Linked DNA regions of Saccharomyces cerevisiae S288C. The gene in region 1 interacts genetically with each later gene. Each region holds a gene or a part of one and is shown in the gene's direction. Other genes may lie near its edges.

Region 1 (2,809 bases):
CACGCAGGTTCCCTAACTAATTTATCTAAGCAAGCAGCTTCAACGGTTCAAATTCTTGGTGCTGAAAAGGCTTTGTTCAGAGCTTTAAAAACTAAAGGTAACACTCCAAAATACGGTTTGATTTACCACAGTGGTTTTATTTCTAAGGCCTCTGCCAAGAACAAGGGTCGTATTTCTAGATACTTGGCTAACAAATGTTCTATGGCCTCTAGAATTGACAATTACTCTGAGGAACCATCTAATGTTTTTGGTTCCGTACTAAAGAAACAAGTTGAGCAAAGATTAGAATTCTACAACACTGGTAAGCCAACTTTGAAGAATGAATTAGCCATTCAAGAAGCCATGGAACTTTATAACAAAGATAAACCAGCTGCAGAAGTGGAAGAAACCAAGGAAAAGGAATCCTCAAAGAAGAGAAAATTAGAAGATGATGATGAAGAAAAGAAGGAAAAGAAAGAGAAAAAATCGAAGAAGGAAAAGAAAGAAAAGAAGGAAAAGAAGGACAAAAAGGAAAAGAAAGATAAAAAGGAAAAGAAGGATAAAAAGAAGAAAAGTAAGGATTAAAAGGAACAATGAATCGAAATAAAGTATATCCCATCTTTTTGTGTACTTTTCTTCCCTTTAAAGTTTTTCATATATATATATATTATCTTTTATTCCCTTCTAATATTCTTCTTTAGGATTTGGAAGCTGTATATTGTATATTTAGAAATATTATTAAATAAAAAAGTCATATGTTATTTTGAGCTTAAGTACCCTCTTATGCCTCTTTCACTCGCCATTACTGACATTCTGTGATCGCCATTCATATATATAGGCCTGATTGTGCACCAATTGCCGCGCTATCACACCTCCATAAGCGATAGCATTCTTCAGAATATCTTGAAGGCTCAAAACCAAGCCATTGACCGCACAAATCAACTAAAGAACCCATGTCAGACAACGAAAGTTTCTCAAATCCATTAGGCCCCTCACTAGGCGCTACAAGACATTTAAATTTCAGTCCCTTACTGGGACCGACAATCAATTGTGTTAGCACACTTCCTATGAATCCCGTTATAAATTCTGGTGGTTGTAGTGTACATTCATTTTCCGTCATTACCTTCATGCTGGCGATTTTATCAGAGGTGCCAATTACTATTATATCAGGGGAGAACTGGGCTAACTGTGATATGATAGATCTACTTATCATGTTACCAAAAATCGGCGATATACTAATGAAATTCTCCTCCATAGAAAATAATAACGTCTTTCCAAATGAATAAATCGGGAAAGAAAAACCATATACTGTTTCATCGGCGGTGTCATTTTTTTGATCAGGATCAACCTCGTTTGGAAAGTTTTCGTCGTAATTCCACGAGTGTTTACCTGAAGATTGGGGAAGACTTGGACTTTTCACCGTCAATGTAGTTTTAATTTCACCAATAGAGGTTAATTGAAGCAGATTTTTGGGGAATAATGGGTTCATTATCTTAGTAGTAATGACGGCTGTCGAATATTGAGGAACATCCAAGTCCTGAGGAAACTCAACTTTTGGAACCGGGCAGACTTCTAAAGATTGCAGGTTTTTTGAAATCTCTGGGAGATCTAGCAGATGTTTTGGTTCTGGTAAGTCATTCCATTGTTTAAACTTCAAAAAGAATCAAGTAACATAAGTTAGTCAAACCACTCTACTCTAGCAAAATATGATGGGGAAAAAAGATTATTGTAACATACAAGCATCGCTATAAATGAAAATTTTACTGTAGTGCGATGATATCTTGGTCGCTGTTTCTTATTATTTCGCCTGTTGCCACCTATTGCCACGCAACTTCTTAAATTGATTTCAATGAAGTCTGAAATTTTGATGCGAAAGAAAAAAAAAAGTAAAGGCAATAAAACTTCATCAAGTCAAACGTCATCTATAAATAATCCCACTTCAGAATTGAAAAAGACTACATTTGAGTGGAGGAACAAAAGCAAAAATGTCTGAATTAGGTGCCAAATATCAACAGTTGCAAAATGAGTTAGAAGAGTTTATTGTGGCCAGACAAAAATTAGAGACACAATTACAAGAAAACAAGATTGTAAATGAAGAGTTTGACCAATTAGAAGAAGATACACCTGTGTACAAATTGACAGGCAATGTCCTTTTACCAGTTGAACAAAGTGAGGCACGTACCAACGTGGACAAAAGATTAGAGTTCATCGAAACAGAAATTACAAGATGCGAAAAGAACATAAGGGACAAGCAGGAAGAACTAGAAAAGATGAGAAGCGAGCTAATTAAACTGAACAATACAGCAGCTTCCACTGGCCCAGGAAGGTAAAACAAACTCACAGGTCCTCGGAAAGACAAGAAAGCGCACAGTACCAATAAATCTGCCCAAAATAAAATTTTCTTTTATATACAATTATGTAACTTACAAACAAAATACCTACGCATTTCACTGTCCTAAACTTCAAATTGACATGTAAGATTGCTTAACCCCTAACTAATTGAGATTTGATTAAATTTACCGTAGACATTAACGTATACCAGGCAAACTCTTCAGTATTGTTATAGTACTCACCCAAACGCATGACCCTATGTAATTTATCCTTTGCAAAAGTAAACGTTTCTTTGTAATTGTGGGATTTATCCTGAGCCATAAATAACTTTGAACCAATGTAGGTGCTCGAAACAGCCAATCTCTTAGCATACCATGCAGAATCATGGTGGTCCTTTTCGTTGGAAAAGTAAATCATATCATCGGACAATCTGTGTAGTTCAGGAATTGCAGTTTCAAAGAGAAAGGCGCTTGGAATAGCCAATTGTGACATTAGTTCC
Region 2 (4,596 bases), on another chromosome or scaffold:
CAAAGTCTGGTTCTCAATCTTCAGCTCTTCTAAACGCTGTTCAAGTTCAAGGTTCCTTCTTTCGAGCCCATGAACTTTCTTTTTCAAGTCTTTGCACTCAAGACGTGATTTGCGAGTGGTAACTTCTAGTTTGTCTTTTAGTTCATCGTATGACAGCTCCTTGGCGTTTTTCCTTCGCTTCTCATTCTTCTTCGACCGGTCCAGATTTGGCGACGGACTTGCTCCGTTGACATCTTCGTGGGTGCTCATATCACTAAAATCTTCTACCTCGAGCATTACAATATGTTTCTCCGTATTCACGTTTTCTTCCCTTGGTTTCGATCCGCCCTTTTTGGTTTTCCTCTTTGACTTACTCTTGAGATTACGGGGGTCGGCTCCTCCAATAATGCCTTCTAAGCCGTTTAACAGTTCTTCTATATCTTCTTGAGCAGCTTCTGTCTGCTTCTTCTTATTCAATGCGGCTATCGTACTTTGTGAAGAGCTTTCCTCATGGGCCGTACGTTCATCATTATCATTCTTTAACCAATTAGAGTAGGCCTGCTGATCCGTGACGCATCTTTTTTGGCTATCAATACTGTCATCTAGTAGAAAACCCAATAATTCTTCTTTATTCATGCTTGCACGTTATACCTGGCCGGGATTGGGGCGCTATTCTTGCATTGTATACAATATCCTCATATAATGAACTCTTAATTAATGCGTCATCATCCCAACTTAACACCCCTCATATACCCTAAGTTAGTACTCTCAGACCTATAGAAATAAATGTATCAATATCATGACACCTAACTGATTATATTTTCAACCCTAGGTTTATTTTTTTCACTTTTCTTTTTCTTTTCTTTTTCACCACGTTAACGAAACTTTTAAGTAGTTATGGTGATCTTTTAAAGCGATGCATTCCTGTCTTTGCCTTTAGTCGCACACACCCTCTCCCGTTTTTATGTTAGCTTAGTTATATTATGAATCCACGCTACAGGTTTATACTGAGATTTTATTCTTCGAAAAAACCAACTTTCCACAATACAGCACCTTCGAAGACCAACGTAAACGTACCACGCGCTAACAAAAGTCAAAGCAAGGGTAAACACAAAGGCAAATTGTTGGTACTCGTAGGAACTTTAGCACTCGTGACATCAGTTATTTCGGTAAACTATCAAAAGAACGAACCAGTTGAATTTCTTGAATAAGACAAATGACAGCTGCCACTACATCACAGCCAGCTTTCTCGCCTGACCAAGTTTCCGTGATCTTCGTTCTAGGAGGACCCGGTGCAGGCAAGGGTACTCAGTGTGAAAAACTAGTTAAGGACTATTCATTTGTCCATTTGTCAGCCGGAGACCTTCTACGTGCTGAGCAGGGCAGAGCAGGTTCCCAATATGGGGAATTGATCAAGAACTGCATCAAAGAGGGCCAGATTGTCCCTCAAGAGATTACTTTGGCGCTTTTACGCAACGCTATTTCCGATAACGTCAAGGCGAACAAGCATAAGTTCTTAATTGACGGATTTCCTAGGAAGATGGATCAAGCCATTTCCTTTGAAAGAGACATCGTTGAAAGCAAATTCATCCTGTTCTTTGACTGCCCTGAAGATATCATGTTAGAGAGACTATTGGAGCGTGGCAAGACCAGTGGTAGAAGCGATGACAACATTGAGTCCATTAAGAAGAGATTTAACACTTTCAAGGAGACTAGTATGCCCGTCATCGAGTACTTTGAAACCAAATCGAAAGTCGTCCGTGTTCGTTGCGACAGATCCGTCGAAGATGTGTACAAAGACGTCCAAGACGCTATCCGTGATAGCTTATAGACTAAGACGTATTTTATATAGTTTACGCTATAAGTTACGGCGATATTATATATATATGTAAGAATATATACATATATATTAAAATGATTATATGCCCTCCCCTACATATCAGACCTTTACAGGGTAACCTTAAAATAAACTGCTAAATTATTTGGTTTATGAATTAAAAGAGCAATAATAACAATGGCGGGAGCACTGTTTCGATGATAGGTAAGCCTAAAAGACTAGTCAGACGTATCTTACGCCATGGACAAAATCAATCCTGATTGGGCGAAGGATATTCCGTGCAGAAATATCACTATTTATGGCTACTGCAAAAAGGAGAAAGAAGGTTGCCCTTTCAAACACAGCGATAACACTACCGCTACTACCATAAATGACGTTCCTCCTCCAATAGATGTGGGTGAGGCTACAACTCCGACCATGACATCAGTTCCTAAGTTCAATGCTAAAGTATCCGCAAGTTTCACTCCGATGACAGTCGGTAGTGACTCCTTAACCACTGTGACGAATACCACCTCCGCTGCTACAAATGCTACTGGCAATATCGCCATGGCAGCTACCTCTGCTACTGCTTCTACAGTTAATCCGATGATTAATCCGATAGTTAATAGCTCGTTAGTGAATAACAATAACAATAATAGTAATATAAGCATATCAATACCAACTACCGCTTCGAGTTCCAATTACGACCCCTTCAATGCCCCCATTTTCACTCCGTCTTCAACCTCCTCAATTCACACTAATGCAAATGCACATTCTTTTCCATTTCCCTCCATTGCAAATTCTGGTGGCATAAATATAAACGCCACTGATGATAATAGTAACAATATGAGTATGGCTAATAATGTGCCACCTCCTATGCAACCGCCACCCATAGAGAGTAGTAATCTTAAGTACCCACGTATTTATCCGCCTCCTCACAGTCTTCTACAGTATCACCTATATGCACCTGAACAGCCATCATCATTGAAATCATTATTAAAGCCTAATGAAAGGTCTGCAGATCAGCTTTTCATTCCAAACAATATTAGAGAAGATTTAACCAAGAAAAACTTATCGATTTTGCAGGTTTTCCCCTCTTCAGGTAAAGTTATACCAAGTATTGTACAAGATTATTTTAATTTGGTTCCATTGAACTTCAATAATAACGATTTTTTAAATAAAACTACGCTCTTCAAAGTTTTTTCCAATTATGACGGTAAAGCCTACGTTTTGAAGAGGCTTCCTAACATCGATAAGTCAATGAATCCAAACAAAATATCCAAAATATATCAGATATGGTCAAAAATTAATTGTACAAATTTGATAAAGTTTAGGGACATTTTTCAAACTACTAAATTTGGTGATCTGTCTATTTGTTTGGTCTTTGACTACTACCCAAACTCGCTATCTTTGTATGATTACCACTTTGTTAATTTCCCTAAGTTTCCAATAACGAATAATTATTTATGGATATATTTAGTTCAACTCACCAATGTAATAAACTCTATCCATTCACAAAACTTGAGTATTGGCAATACATTAAACTGGAGAAAAGTTTTGATTACTGGGGACCCAGGGAGAATCAAGTTATCACACTGCAATTTTATGGACCTTTTGTTCAATGATGATACTGATACCGTAGTATCTTCCGGCGGAAGTACCATAGAGGGACAACAACAGCTAGACTACAAATATTTAGGAGAGCTATTATTTAACCTATCCATTAATATTGAAAACTCTAATAACAACACTGCCCCTAAAGAATATCGATTGGAGGAAATAACCCCTCAATCAATTGATGACATGAGACAGATCGATGATAAGTTCAAGGATGTACTCAAGTATCTGATATCAGACAACGGCGATTCCAAAAAGAGCATTCATGATCTTACTAGTCACTTTTATGATAAGATGTTCATGGTCCTGGAATCGTCACAAACCTATACAGAATACATGGAGTCTGTCTTATCAAGAGAACTAGAAAATGGCAGATTATTTAGGCTGGTCAACAAGCTAAATTGCATTTTTGGTAGAATCGAATCAAGAATAGACATAAATTGGTCCGAATCTGGGACTAAATTCCCCATTATACTATTTTATGACTACGTATTCCATCAAGTGGATTCGAATGGGAAACCAATAATGGATTTAACTCATGTCCTAAGATGTTTGAACAAATTAGACGCTGGTATTCAAGAAAAGTTAATGTTGGTAACGCCCGATGAGTTAAACTGTATTATTATATCCTATAAGGAGTTGAAGGACTTGATAGAATCCACCTTTCGATCCATCACCCAATAAAACAACACCAAATAATGTAGATACACACATATATATTAATTATACATTAGTATCCCCTTGACATACCCCACTACCGTCTTCATGTGGAAAATTTTCCGTATTTGCTTTCCCCTTCTGTTCCCTAATTCTATAGGGTAAGCGATTCATCCCTTGTTCGCCACATCTAAGAGAACTTAAAGCCGGGGCTCACCTCTACTACAGAGATTGCTTATGGTGAACAATATTAAGTGATTATATAACACAGTAATGTACAAATATATTTTAGTCATGTAGGTGATATTGTGCACGGCGAGGTTCTCTGATTGTGAACCCGTATAAGGAATATAAGCGGAGAAACACAATATTTATAAGTAACGATGCAAGAATTTTATTCTTTTTCACCAATAGATGAAAACGGAAATCCATTCCCCTTCAACTCCCTGCGTAACAAAGTGGTTTTGATAGTCAATGTAGCATCTCATTGTGCGTTCACACCTCAATACAAGGAATTAGAGTACTTG

The links.
Region 2: mutations in YKE2 (region 1) and PAN3 together harm fitness more than expected from each alone (negative genetic interaction), as found in Saccharomyces cerevisiae (6 studies listed by BioGRID, with this or other methods).

The regions. Positions count from the first base shown.
Region 1 is NC_001144.5:547,048-549,856, forward strand, and holds YKE2 (tubulin-binding prefolding complex subunit YKE2), read left to right. Parts: upstream 1-1,964; coding exon 1,965-2,309; downstream 2,310-2,809. Other genes in the region: snoRNP complex protein NOP56, read left to right, coding at 1-564; PBA1 (Pba1p), read right to left, coding at 806-1,630, 1,717-1,722; ubiquinone biosynthesis protein COQ9, read right to left, coding at 2,464-2,809. UniProt on the Saccharomyces cerevisiae protein: Binds specifically to cytosolic chaperonin (c-CPN) and transfers target proteins to it. Binds to nascent polypeptide chain and promotes folding in an environment in which there are many competing pathways for nonnative proteins.
Region 2 is NC_001143.9:389,740-394,335, reverse strand, and holds PAN3 (PAN-complex poly(A)-binding subunit PAN3), read left to right. Parts: upstream 1-2,056; coding exon 2,057-4,096; downstream 4,097-4,596. Other genes in the region: SKA1 (Ska1p), read right to left, coding at 1-615; MIN9 (Min9p), read left to right, coding at 963-1,190; URA6 (bifunctional uridylate/adenylate kinase), read left to right, coding at 1,196-1,810; glutathione peroxidase GPX1, read left to right, coding at 4,453-4,596.